Yarrowia lipolytica: one gene and its partner. The protein of the gene in region 2 interacts with the protein of the main gene of each other region in a biochemical or structural test. Links are inferred from orthologs where the notes say so. Each region holds a gene or a part of one and is shown on either strand. Other genes may lie near its edges.

Region 1 (6,513 bases), on a different chromosome or scaffold from region 2:
GTTCTAAGACGTCCCAAACAGGCAGTATCTGATAACAAGTACAAGTACATACGTAGCGCCTTTTCATCGCGTGCTTCATGCAGGTAGACTGACAGATGTGGCAACAGCGGGGGTGGATGTGCGCGAGAGATGAAGATGATGGAATCATTAACGAATGGATGGACGTGAATACTGAGAAACAGAAGATTAATGACGGAATCAAATCGCTCGATCTGCTTCTAACAGTTCAAACATTTTCTTTGATCAAATCTCATGGCTTCAGCTCCATCTCAGATCGTACTGTGTATAATTAACGTACTTTGTATGAGATTCAGCATGGTGGTGAAAAAAGACAGAAAAAACAAAAAAGACGGCTTGATAGACATGGAGTATTCGCACTTACTGTAGAACAGGTCCACACGGCCTTGAAGTACAAGTACAATATATACCGAGAAAACAGTCACTGAAAGAGGAAGCAGAAGATTGAACTGACACCAGAGTATGTAGGTCACTATTGTGCTGACCGGGTACCACCACTATTATTAATATACATGATGTACTGTACATACAGTACTTGTAAAGGGACGGCCACAACCAGCCCCCTCTTGGAGCCTCTCCTTGGTCAACACAGTATGTCTTCTTAACCTCTGCGATATCCGCTCTCCAGCAGTGCAATAGATCAGTGACCCCTTTCGAACACCGCATTTCGTACTCTCTCATCAGCACTCGTAGCTGTTTAATATTAACACATAAAGACCGTCTGTGCGAGAAACAAGGCATCCCATCTTCCAATCTACCTCCCCCATGTCGTCTCATCATGCCATTATATTACACTCTATAAGTATCATATCCTGCCTGCCCCTACCATTAAAATATCCAAACGTCTTTTCACCAAAATCAACTTCTCCATCCATCCAAGCCGTACTCCAGCTCGAGCTCCAGGTCGCCATCTCCCTGGCGTCCGGACTCCTGGGGCTTTGGTGGCGGGTCCTGGTACTTGAAGTCCTCCTCGGGGATACCCAGAGAGTCCTTTCGCTGAATGACGGGTGGCTGGCCCATGTCCGAGGTCTGTGAGCCGACTCCAAAGCCGGCGTACTCGTAAAAGTGGGGGTTAGCAGACTGGTCCGAGTCCGAGAAGCCCGACAGGGTGGATGGAGAGTCCTGCTGTTGAGGGTGATGTTGCTGCTGCTGGTGTTGCTGTCTCTCAGCTTCCTGCTGGTGTTGCTTCTGACGTTCAGCCTCCTTCTGTTGTCTCTCCACCTCCTGCTTCTCCTCCTCTCTCCGCTGCTCCTCGATCTGCTCGTCTCTGATTCGTGTCTGCTCATCGACAGGCTTTCGAACCATGGCCCGGAAGTCCACAACCTCGTCCAGAATCATCTGCTTCATTGCCTCCATGTCATTGACCTCCTCGAACGAGAAGTCGAACGGAGTGGGACACACAGGCTCATCTCGGGGATCGTGCCAGATCTTCAGGTAGGGGTGCTCAAGAGCCTCCTCAACCGTCACTCGCTCCGCAGGATCGAAGGCAAGCATTTTCTCCAGCAGATCCAGAGCCTCGGGGTTGGCGGTGGGGAATAGCGTGGAAAAGGGAATCTTGGGCATGAAGGGAAGACCCCGAACGTACTCCTGGGCTCTGGGACTGCCGATTCGCTTGAGAGTCTCCTCCGAGGGCGTTCCGAGGTAGTGCAGAATTTGATTGAGCTGGTCGACGTAGTTCTTGCCCTTGAACAGCGGCTTTCCTCCCAGAAGCTCGGCCAGAATGCAGCCCACGGACCAGATGTCAATGGCCTTTGTGTAAGACTGGAAAGAGAGCATGATCTCCGGGGCTCTGTACCACCGGGTGGCGACGTATTCTGTCAGGAAACCGGCATTCTTTTCGTCGTCGGAAGAGAATCCACGCGCAAGTCCGAAATCGCAAATCTTGAGCTCACAGTCGGCGTTAACCAGCAAATTGCCGGGTTTAAGATCCCGATGGAGAACATCGGCGGAATGAATGTACTTGACACCGGCGAGAATCTGGTAAACAAACGACTGGTAATGGGCGTCAGTCAGAGGCTGGCCGGACCGGATGATCTGATGCATATCGCACTCCATGAGCTCTTCGTACAGATACAGCTCGTTGAAATTGTTGGTGTCCACAATGTCCATATCGTACAGACAGGTGATGTTCTTGTGCCCCCGGAAGTGGTTCAGTAGCTTGAGCTCCCGCAACGCCCGCTTACACAGAATGTTTTTCGAGAAAATGTTGGTCACCTTCTTGATAGCAACTCCAGGCCCATCAGGCGTCCCAGTGTACTTGGCTGCACACACAATGCCGTACGCGCCATGGCCCAGCTCTTTGGTCACCTGGAACCGCTTGTCTATGGTGAATTCCTGGTTGAACACCTTGTACGTGTGTCGGTCCGCTCGTATCATGGTGGTGTCGTAACGTGTAGCGAATGAGTGGGTGCGGATGTGTCTAGTCTGTTGAGAGAGAGGTCCAAAAGGTCAAAGTTCGTGTGTGCAAAAAAAGGTCTCGTGCAAAAGTCGCGTGTCAAGGCCGTCAATAATCCCGAAGTAGTCCGTAAAAATGCTCGCGGTCGATTGATCGTTCCTGGAAGTAACACTGGTCTGGTCGACTCGTCTATTTTCAGGTGAGGTGGATGATAAAGTCAGACTTGGATAGAGTGAATTATCACACCAAGCCAAACCAAACTGAATTTCGAACTGTACGTCATTGCGGAGAATAAACTAGAAAGTAGAAAAAGTTGATGCTAGCTAATCGGCCATTTTCTTTTTCTCGCCCCTCTGGAAATCGATACAGCCTATCATCTACAGCTACTCGTCTATGGTGAATCCTGTCGCGTGCCCACACCGTTAGCTACCCACCCCGCCCTCTCTTCGTCGGCCTGCTTGCTCATGTCACCTCCATTTATTATACCTCCCAATAGCACAATTTCGCTCACCCTCCCACCTCCCACTCACCGTTCCTCCTCGCCCCCCTCGGTAATACACATAGACTTCCACTGCAACTTGCTGCGTCGTCATCAACCTTAAATACCTGACTAATAATACGGAAGTAAGTCAGATATTTTTACCACTAGATGTCACCATAGTGGCTCTCCGGCCAAATTGAACAGAATCTTGTTGGGCGTAAACGGCTTGAACATCATGCCCCGACGACTCAGCCGGTTCATGTTGGCCCAGTCTCGTATTCGTGTCATGGCCTTGTGGGGCTCGTCTCCCATGCCAAGGTAATATGCCACTAACCCTGCGGCAAGTGGAGCCGACATGGACGAGCCAGACTGAGCCACTGTGCCCCGATTGTTCTGGTTCGACAGCGAAATCACCTCTACGCCGGGCGCAAAAATGTCCACACACTGGCCCCAGTTGGAGAAGCTGGCAATCGTGTCCGTCCTGTCGTCAAACGCCCCGACGGTCAGAACCCCGTTAGCACTAGCAGGCGAGTCCAGACACGCAGGGGTGTTGGTGTTGCCTGCAGCCACCACCACAGGAATGCCAGAGTCGATCGCAGCCTCGACCGCAGCGTTGAACACCGAGTTCTTAGGTGCTCCCAAACTCATGTTGATAACCGCGGGACGGCCGTTCCGATGGATCTCAGCCGCGGCCCACTCCAAACCGGCGAGTACAGATGAGAGGGCTCCCATACCGTCCTCTCCAGTGACCTTGACATCAATGATGTTGGCCTTTTTCGCTATACCGTAGGTCTTAGACGCAGCTAGGCCGGCAACATGGGTGCCATGGCCGTTTTGATCACCCATGCCCTCGCCGGTGAAGTCTCGACCTGGTTTGCCTCGGTTCTCAAATTCAATGTGCTGATGACGCACTCCAGTATCTAGAATGTAGATGTCGACGCCGCTTCCGTCGGAAGGGTCGTGGACAAAGTCCTGGGGACCGAAGGCGCTGATGGGCTCGAGGTTGGATGTTCGGGCAAGGTGGCGAGGAGCGTTGGCCTGAACGTCGTAAATCTTGACATCGATGTCGAAGGTCCAATCTTTGATCTGTGTTAGTGACTGACAGGTTATTGATAGAGGGGACAACTTGGTTATACTCGTACGTAGCAGTGATAGTTTGTATGTTACAAACTGCTGCATCAGCCTTAGAGTATACACGTTGATAGACATCTCGATATCACATCTGCTCAATCTCTAGTAATCTCAAGTATCACATCACATAGTCTGTGTTACACAACACCACATCCGAAGGGGTATCAAAAGGTATCACTCACCATCAAGTTCTTGGCAAGGGCGTAGACCAGAGAACTGGGGATGTCCCCGGCAAGAGCCTGGAAGTTGCCGAAACTGTGGTACTTGTCGAAATGAGCCAGAAAGTGCGGATTCAGGGTGAAGAAGTCGGAGAGATGCGTCTCGTTTTTGAGCTGCAAGATCATGTTGCGGGCCTGTGCTAGCTGAAGTAGCAGCAGTACTGGAAGAAGAAATAACATGCGCGTCATAAGTTGGGTGTACTTGTACAAACAGCTCAAACCAAAGAAGGGACTGTCACTTATATATACAGTAAAGATAAGGTGGATTTTTAGACTTCCATACGAGTCACCTGTCTGTTAAGGTGGGGCACTGTATGACATACACTATAGTACAAGTACAGTATAATTACAATACTGTAACTACTGTAGTGACGACATGGACACTATTGATGCATTTCATCTTCCTATTTAGCCCAAGGAGCTTTCGTGGGGGCCATGCCTGGTGCATCTCCTCCAGGAACACTTGAGCCCGGAGCTCTGGTGGGAGGCAATGCAGTTGCACCAGGAGCTCCAGTAGTGCCAGAAGCACCCCCACTAGCCCTGTCCTCTCTCTCCTCCTTCTCTCTCGCTGCACGCTGACCGTCTCGACGAGCTAGACGCTCCACAGTCTCCATTGGCATACCTCTTGGGCCCATAAGTGGCAAACGAGCATGAGGAGTAGTCTGCGGTTCCTTCTTGGACTTGAATCCAAGGGGAAGCTTGGGCTTGACGGGCTCTTCGTCCTCCACCTTGGAGTAGGGCAGGTCGTTACCTTCAGTATCCTTCCAGGGATATAGCTCTGAACCAAAGTAAAAGTGCTGGACAACAGGGAACTTTCCCAGAACTTCTGCAATGTACATTTTGATCATTCCTGAGTGGATCTTAGCCCAGGTGGCAATTCCAGAAATATCGTAGAGGATGGGGGAGTGCTCATAGAAGGGGCCAGACTTGATATCGTAAATGAAGGCAATAGCTGCAAAGTACAGGTTGGTAGTCTTTTGCTGCTGGACGATTCGAGGATTCATGACACTCGAAGGGGGACACTCTTTATCGTACTTTGTGGGAACCAGAAGGGTAGATGCAGTTACTGATCGTGACACCTTCTGAGCCGATCCAAGAATGTAAGGGAGATGGGAGTGGTCATCCAAACCCCAAACTCCGTGAGATCCAGCAGGTTCCAGAGAGTATGTCATGATAAGTTTTCTGACAAGCACAAAGTATGTCTCAAAGATGAAGAGCACGTCTGGAGCAGGCAGATCTGTTTCCAGGAGACCCAGTTTCTGAAGGCCCCCCACAAATGCCATGAATGAGAGCTCATGGCCTGTTCCAAAATCCAGACGCTGTTTCGAGCCCATTCCCCCGTGGAGGTAGTATTGTAGCTCGATAATCGAGTCCTTGTTGATGCTAGGGAACGCCTCTGTCAGTAGAGCTGTAGTTTGGGCCTCCATCTTGTCATGCCAGTCTCTAACAGCGACGTTTCCAAATCGCCGAGGGCCCTCCAGCGGTGGCGTTTCGTCAATAAGAGCACTGAGTTTGCGACACAAAGTGACGAGAGCCTTGGAACTGGCCGCTAGCTCGTCTTCATTGGGGGGCAGAAGATGCTCTTGAACTGTAGACGAGTACTTGTCCAGTAACGAGATGATGGTGGCGTAAGGCTGAGATCGCTTGAAGGAGTCGACATCGGCGGCCGAAGAAATGCGTTTCTGAGGTTCACTGAAAGTCATTCTTGTTGAACACGAAGCTGTATGAAGAGATGAGTTGTATGTCCAAGTGTGATGATAAGCCTGTATGGTTATGCACAGTGAAACTTTGGCAGTGTCGGTGCGGAAGATGGTGGGATGATAGTGGTAGGTGGATGGAAAGTGAGCAGACCGAAATAGACTGCCTGAGAGTAGACAATTGCAATAATGTAGCTCGTTTCCCTGATTTTTTCTTCAATTGATGAAGAAGGGGGCCTCCAATGACCAGTTGGGGGCCTGCTGAATCTAGGTTCGGTCTACCTCCACAACTTTTGGTCTCTCGAATGTGAATTTATCAAACAAATATGTAGTCAATTTTGTTTCTGGTACAATCAAATGGATGTGAGAATAACTTGCTGAAAAATTGTCACTATTGGCCCACATCAACCGAGAGAGGGCTTCTCCTCCATTGCCTAACTAATGTGAACTACAACTTCAATAATACAGTTAACAGCTACTTAAGTAAAACACAGCAAGCTTCTTTTGGGAGGATTTCTGTATGAATCGAAGCACATTTTTTTACACATTCCCATTCAATGTCTCATCAAGAAG
Region 2 (8,084 bases):
AGAGCCCTGTAGCCTTTACTTTGAGAAGAGAAAGTAAACGGTTTTAATACGGCTCTGGTTGAAGTGGGTGATGCGAGTATGTAGGAGGCTACTTATAGATAGTTCTTCAGGAATGTAAGTTACCCGTGTATACCGAACAACAGGGCTAGACGCTAGACGCTACTCTTTGTACCAACTCGTACCTGTACAGAACCTGTTCAGGACGGGTGCCTATTGTTAACATGCCCAAGGGTACGATTACTCTAGTGCACTTGAATCGTACAGTACTCTCTTGAGAGAGTCAATTAACCGACATTGTAGACTCCTCGCTTCTCGTACCCATCGTACAGTACATGAACTCGTGCCGAACGCACATCAAGAGAGGTGCAGCACTAAGTTGTCCCCTCATCTTGTCGAGTTCCCACACCGTTGCGCACGCACCCAGCTCGTATTGCAGTCTACAGTAAGGATCAATTATCTGTGTTTGGAGCGTCTCGGCTACATGTTTCTGTTTCAGCCGTTTTGTTTTGAAACAGAGACAGTGGTGAGGTGACCCGGGTCACGGTTTCCGAAGAGTCATGGGGCGTTGCGAGTATCGTACAAGTACTTGTAGATCTACTGGCAGAACTACATACCATATGATGATCATCTACCAATCGGCTACAGATTTTCATATTCAGGTTCACGTGATTTTTGGGACCGATGACATTAGAGAGTCATATTTCGGATGAAAAAGTGAAAATTCAAAAAATCAAAAATCAAAAATCTATATACGCCACCGTTGGTCTCCACGGCTTTGCTACTCACGCTTCTATCATCTCCACTCGGAAAAACGCATGCAACGGGTTGTGCAGATGGCCGGATTTGTGTGTGTATGAGAGGAGACAGAGTCTACACTATTAATAGAGCACTTGGTGCATGCATACTCGTACAAGTGCCCAGACCTGTTGTCAAGGTACAGTCATACTTGTATCCGGTCATCTGTGATGGCTGATGACATATGTCCCGCCGCCTACAAGTATGTACTGTACAGCACTGGCTTTGCCTGTCACATCGGTTTGCTTTTGCTTCTTCCGCCGAGGTGCCAGAGCCCATCCCAGATACATGAGGCATGTCAGATGGAGATGGCCAGAGACAGCTGTTATACATGGTGGCAACCGTGTCTTGCCCACCCGTCTCAGTGACGTAATAATTGTGCACCAACCGAACTCTGTTCCCTTTCTGTCATGAGAAGATGTCCCATGCACAAGGTGAAGGGTGCAGTTGAAACATCCGGACAAATGTCAGAGTCTGGCAGCAGGCGTGGTGTTCCTGGATTACACGGTACAAGTACTTGCACGGAGCTTGTACTATACTTGTGAACGATTCCATAACTGATACTATTCTTCAGACTGACACTTGTTGACAGTCACTGTAATTACATTACAGCAATATGGGATATACTCGACATAATATTGACATGCAGAGGGACAAAAAATTAATTGTACAAAATAAATAGCAGACCAGCGTGTATAACATAGTAGAGTGTGTGTATCAGATGTGACAGTATCAGCACTAGTATGTAATGTCACATATAACGGTCTGAAAGACGTTTCGTGATTACAGTACCGGTACAGTACATAATAGGGTGGTCTTAATCAGTTATTATAATTAGTTAGAATAAATTAGAATAAATAAGCAAATGATCTAGAGACCCTCGAGGCCCCTAAGTAAGTCATGACGACCCCTAAATAAGTCCCGAGAGTCCCGAAAGGAGCCCAAGATGGCCACGGCTAGCCCTCACTCTATTACAACCCCGGATAGAAATCAAGATGTATTGAAATGAAATCTGCAAGTAAGATGCAATAGAATAAATATATGGTGGGTTGAGTGTCCATCGAAGTCATCCAGTGACAAAAAGTAGAAGTACGGGTTCAGTAGCCTGCGCGTGAGAGCCCAGGCCCCAAACAAACGCACTGTGTTGCATAGAGGGAAAGTGATTAGTGTCCTTGAAGCTGGTGAGAAATATCTTGTGGATCACAAGCTCCAGATATGAGCCTTGAGATGGAGGCCTCATTTCAGATGATCCTCCTCTGAGCCCTATAGTCTGCATCAATGCTCAGACTCGAGTGCTTTTGGTCCAGGACTCAGTAGACCGGGTGTCGCGATGGTGAAGTCCCCTGTAGAGCCCTAATTCAAGGCAGGACTTCTGGCTCGCATAAAACTGAGCGTGTAGCCGGCCTAGACTGACAAAAGCCTCTGGCACCTAATCTTCGTCGCTCTCCAACGCATCCTTTTCGCCCAGCAAATGCTTGTGCCAGTCCATCAACTGAAAAATCAACGTCATGTTCGGTCCGATTTCCGGCGACCGGTACTTGACCCAGTCATAGGCTGCATTCAGATCAAGCTGCTGCTTCTTCATAATGTAAGCGATCAGCAGCGACGCACTTCTTGAGACTCCACACTGACAGTGAACCAGCACACGCTTGCCAGCAGCACTTCTGTCATCAATCAGCTGCGTGAGATACGGCAGGTCAGGCAGGAACTTGGAGTTGTGTCCCCAGGGCACGTAGACGTACTCGGGGTTGGTCTGTCCATCATTAGCATACTGCTCCTCGGAGAACGGGTTGTCAATCTCCTTGGCCACGTTGATGACCACGTCGAACGTACGGGCGAGCTCCACAGAAGGCTCCGAGTACAGGTAAACGTTGCTGGGGTAGATGAGCAAGGGTCCATCTGGGTATGCGTTCTCATGGTGCACGGAGGGAGTCATGAGCTCCTCTGCGAACAGGTGATGTTTGCTGGGTGGAAGCGCATCGTCGTAGTTTGGTGGCGGTGTAGTGTGTGTAGTGTTATCGGAGTTGGGGTCCGATTCCGAGTCCGACAGCGACAGCTGAGAGGCCGCGGAGTTGGCGGAATGGTGCGACTGGGACGTCGGGGTGCCCAAGGGGGCAGGCAGAGTGTTTGAGCCGGAGCACGTGGCCAGCGGGATACTGATACTCAGTTGCGATGTTCGTCTCTGCATCGTAAACGGTGGTGGTTCCATACTGAAGGGAGGCACACTAGACACAGTGGCAGAAGCGGCTGGTTGTACCTGCGGACTGGGGGACTGTCTCTTTGGGGAGGTTCTGGAGTGGTAGTTTTTGTGTTCGCTGCGGTAGTCACTGTCGTAGGCTGCGTCCTCGGGCTCGGCGTCGACGTGGGATCGTTTGACGGAACCCTTGCGAGACAGTCCCAGCGAGAAGGAGGCTGCCAGAGGAGAAGCAGCAGCAACCGAGGGGGCGGACGCTCGCACGGGCGTCGAGCTGACAGGCAGCACAAACGGCAGCGGCGCCGCTATCGAAGGCTCTATAGATGTGTGAGGCGGCGAGACATTGTTATTGCTGTGGCTGTTGTGGCTCTGGTTGCTACCTTGAGGTACCATCAACGACAGGTTTTTGGTGTTGGAGTTTTTGCCCTTGGGCGGTCGGAACGGCAGGTGGCGCGGCGGCGCCGGCAACGAGTCCATGGCGTCGGGATCGTGTATCTGTTGTGCTTGTGGGTGGTGGTGGTTGGAGGGCACGTGCGAACCCGCCATGTCGGCCACCGAGCAGTTCATGGGTATCTGGGAGAGGTGAGGAGAGTTGGGGTTGGTTCTGGGCCTGTCGTTACGGGACTCGAGTCGTGAGAGCTGCGGGAGAGTGCCGGGTGCGCGTGGGGGTTGCGAGTATCCAGATGAGTTGGTTCTCGGGCGTGAGTACGTCGCACTTTGGTGTGTGTGTGTGTTGTGTTGTGCGGTGGTGGTGAGGCCAATGTATATTCAATATACATGTATGTACAAGGGAGTCTATTCTGGCTTTTTGGCAAAGTTAGTGTGCACCTTGTTTTTTAACCTTCGTCTGAGGCTGGCACTCTGATCTATTTTTGTGTACGCACCCACATGTGGGAGGTAGCTCATGTGAGTTTATTGTGCTCCCATGTGAGCGCTGTGGTGCTATAAATATCCATTGTGGGATGGCCAAACGCCAGCTTGGAGCGTGAGGACGGCGCCGCGAGATTGGGCAGGGCATTTGTAATTTTTTTTTGGGGCCCAACATTGATTTTTCCGGTTTTCACTTTGGCGTCATGGCAGCAGAGTCCTCCACTCGTACCTTGCCTTCGCCCTTTACTCTTTACCCCTTGCCTTTGTCACTGTCTCTTTTTGACCTTTTTGTCCTTTTTTTGACATCCTTGATTTACAGTACTTGATTATAGTCTTGTTACTGTGGAGGGTGCACAACACAAGACTGTGTGGGAGCGTCGGGAGGGGGAGTATCAACAGAGTCGGCATACATTCGTACAGTACAACGTGTACATACCCAGCTAGGACGGTCCGAAACCAGCTGCAAGTCCCCCAGATTTCGGCCACACGTGCCCTCCAGCCATCCGCCGACTCACATTCATTCCTGATAGTCGCATCTGAAGCACCCTTGTTTTGCACCCGTGTTTCAACGTGAGACGTGCAAAAATTAAATGCATCTTTTCACGCACTAAAACTAACCGACACCAGTGCACCCAAGTGAAACCTGCGGTTTTAGATTTGGCAGGCCTGCACGCTTTTCGTTGTTGGTTTCAGGACCACTCTCAACGGAGGTATGGGATGACGTATGAACGTGGGAGCAGCAGCGAGAACCAGCTCAACGTGCAGACATTGTCCAGGGTATCCACTTGCAAAGGCCTCGGAATGTACCACACTCCGGCGCGAGCACCGTTTTTCCTTGGTATTGCCCGTAGGGGCTCTGTTCCCCAGTCTCTCAATCAAGGAGTAAATCAAGCCAAAATAACCCTACAATCATAAAACTGTACTGCGACCAAAGGTAGACGTATCCGAGTAGATTCCGGGGGCTCCAGCAGTTGTGTGTCAGTTGTCAGAGTCTTCTCACAAGACGTTTCACTAGAAAACGCTAGCTCGTAATATTGGCATTGTTTTGTCTTCATTTTCAAATAATATCCCCAGCATAATTTGGCTGCCTGCCTTTGTGGAGGGCCAATGGGACTCTACAGGAAGTGTGACAACCACAAGTGTCTACCGAGCATCTAGCATCTACAGTACATACAGAAAATTGTTATAAACGGATCCGACGCGGTCACATGACACGTACCCCTGACATGAGGAGGCTGGAAGAAGAGCTCAGGAAGCTCGATATGGACACGTCGACCATCATTCCAAACTGAAACCATGTGTGGAAAAGGGTGTGCGTGATCGGCACCATGCGTTAAGGGTAGTCTGGGTCTGGGTCGCGATGAACACGGTCTAAATGGGAAATGGACGCGAGACGAGAGGAGACAGGTATAACGGACAAGTAAAGGTCGCAGAGACAAGAGGAAAGCTGAAATCGACCCAGAATCGCTCAATTGATTGACCAAACGGCTTTCAAACAGACTACCTCCTCTCAAACATACTCAAAAGTGAACCCCCCTCCCACCTACTGCACCACGATCTACAGTCTCACAAGGACATCTCATCTGTCCATATCTCATCTTGCAGCCACCTCTTTGTCGAGCCCACCAAAGGCAAAAGAGAGCGACCCCAAAGTGAATCTCTCTATCGAACCGTCCATCATGTATGGCTGCATTACCATATTCGATCCGTTCCTGGTGCTGGTGCAGGTACAGAGCAAGGCACAAGATATGAACGTACAGAAGCCAATGTTCTGGGGCTGTGTCGATAGTTGGCTGCCTTTGGTTCCTTCCTACAGTACGAGTACAGCTGAATTGTACTTCAACTCCACCCAGACATGTACGATACTTGTCTCTACTTGTAGCTCGATTAGTAGCCTCTGTGGTCGTATCAGTGCGTCGAGCAAGTGTACAAGTGCACGCTTGTGAGACACGGCACTTGCTTGCTACCAAAGACATGTGGAACAGCATCGAATGAGTATGGTCACGTCCTCTGAGACCTTGGATACGACATGGGTGCATTTCCGTGGACGACCTGCATTCAATGAGACACGAGTGGCGGAGAGAATGGCGAAGAAAATCAAGACTGGTATGTATCTGGAGTCCACGCTACATTTATCCACCAGTGGGCTCACCCTTACGCCCACAAATCACGTCTAGCCACACTAACGGGCGTTTTAAAGCATCACAAAGAGCAGTAGCGCGGAGAGCCGCCTTAGTTGAAGTTCCTAGCGCCACTACTGTAGAGCGCGGATAGTGTCCATAACTCTTACCCATCAGCTGATCCCGTAGTCACACAGTGTCAGCTCAAGGACATACCTACAAATGTAGCTATAGGCGGCGTCTTGTCGACTTCGCGAGAGGCTGGGGGAAGCAAAGCTAAGCGAACGGAAAGAGAAGCGAATACGAGTTGCTTTCGAGCTAGCGACGGATTCAAATGGAGAGCCAAGCCAACCTAATCATCTACAAGTACAGGTAGCTTGTTTGAAGAGAAGCCACAGATGTAAACTGTGGGTGTGAGAGATGGAGCCGAAAACTTGTGAGAAATGGACAATCTTGTATGGTGGGGTCAATGTTTCATCTTTGGATGTCAATCGAACAATGTACTGGTATGTGTAGATACGAGTACGAGAGTGTGTTGAGCCTTTGAGAGCGGTAAAAAGGAGCGTCACCAGCTTGCCCATTCCCACTACAAGTAGTAATCAGCGGGGTCATTCGATTATCTACCGTTGGTGTCTCAGTTGCTGAACGACAAGAACCGACATCTTAGGGGAGCCCGAAATAACATGCTATAAGTACTTGTAGTCTGTACTGGGTGTCACAGTATGTACTACTCATGTCAACAGTAGATGAGTATTTGCAACCAGTACTGTAGTTGTAACAGGACTACTGCCCCAGTATCCATCCATTCAGTCAAACAGCAAAGCCCCTACTGGACATCCAGAGGATATAACATGAGGAAAACATACCCACATGAGGAAAACTTGACATGAGGAAAACATGACATGAGGAAAATAAGTCAATTAATCATTCAAGGATTCTGTGAATATCTGTTAGCCGCAACTCCCGTTTCATTCGGTCATGTACTCGGAACTCTAGACTCACCATCAGACACGCTACTGTACCATTTATTGTAACGCAGGAACGTTACGACTGATTCACCACCTTAAACCCCCTCTAAGAACCCATCAACTAGTCTCATTCACTAGCCCTCCTGTGATTAAATACTACCGTTGGATTCCCCATCGTCTTTTTTCTCTAGTGATTTATTAACATAGACAAATAATGGCGGAAAAAAGGGGGATGTTGGTATGTGTCCAAACACAGCCAACGCCCAAGAACAAGACGCTTGAATGTTGCTCCTATCAATCCAAATAGAAAAAGATACGACAAGGTCCGCCATTATTCATAATACCGGTTTGTACAAGTACTGTACAGACAACTCATTTATCATGATCCAATTGGGTCAATATATCTATATATGGGTGTTAGCTACTAAGAACACTATACTGTTCAATAACTACGTACGCTTACTCATCTAAACCAAGTAGCTACTGTACAAGTATACCAAAACAGCTATCACATAGTGGCACAAACAACCAAAAACTACCCTGGAATCAATAGCACCACCCTTCTCTGCTTCGAACACTACATGTACAAGAAGTGCTCTCGAGCCTAGACAGTCATGTTACAGTAGTTCAGGAACCAGATCAAAAAGCAAATAAATACGATCGAATGTACCTCTTAACTTCAATATGGCATGTGTTCGGAGATATCAGTGGGATCCTCATAGCTTTGCGCGAACATGTACACACACCTACATTGTCACCAACATATGTACTGTGCTGTACATCCTGTACTCATATATCCGTGGAGACAGCCGAACTACAAACAATTATACTCACATCTCCTTCTACACTACTGTTCTCATTCGGACTAGATCCTCAGCGGACTAGATCCTCAGGCTCTCTTCTCATATCATCAATCCATTCTAACCTCTATCTACCTACTATCTTGTCACCTCCAAGGTTGCAACATAAATAGAGTTTCTATATAACCGTACTTAATCTCTTACTGAGAAGCACACTGGACACCCTGGGCTCCTCCAGGTCCATCCTCATCCATGTCCATCTCATCATCGCCGCCCATAGCTCCTCGGTGCTTGAGAGGATCCACGTCAGCCAGAACAACATCGTCAACATGGACAC

Evidence for each region.
Region 1: of the proteins of YALI1_F01346g (region 2) and YALI1_B04248g, one has a biochemical effect on the other in vitro, tested with the Saccharomyces cerevisiae proteins (6 studies listed by BioGRID, with this or other methods). The link is inferred for Yarrowia lipolytica from reciprocal best matches to the Saccharomyces cerevisiae genes MSG5 and SLT2.

The regions. Positions count from the first base shown.
Region 1 is NC_090771.1:420,719-427,231, reverse strand, and holds YALI1_B04248g (uncharacterized protein), read right to left. Parts: upstream 2,395-6,513; coding exon 877-2,394; downstream 1-876. Other genes in the region: YALI1_B04228g (uncharacterized protein), read right to left, coding at 3,066-3,980, 4,208-4,432; YALI1_B04212g (uncharacterized protein), read right to left, coding at 4,648-5,946. UniProt on the Saccharomyces cerevisiae protein: Serine/threonine protein kinase involved in a signal transduction pathway that plays a role in yeast cell morphogenesis and cell growth.
Region 2 is NC_090775.1:131,099-139,182, forward strand, and holds YALI1_F01346g (uncharacterized protein), read right to left. Parts: upstream 3,557-8,084; coding exon 2,225-3,556; downstream 1-2,224. Other genes in the region: YALI1_F01324g (uncharacterized protein), read right to left, coding at 1,157-1,358, 1,406-1,497; YALI1_F01369g (uncharacterized protein), read right to left, coding at 5,380-5,898; YALI1_F01405g (uncharacterized protein), read right to left, coding at 7,948-8,084. UniProt on the Saccharomyces cerevisiae protein: Dual specificity phosphatase that dephosphorylates MAP kinase FUS3 on both a Tyr and a Ser or Thr. Has a role in adaptation to pheromone.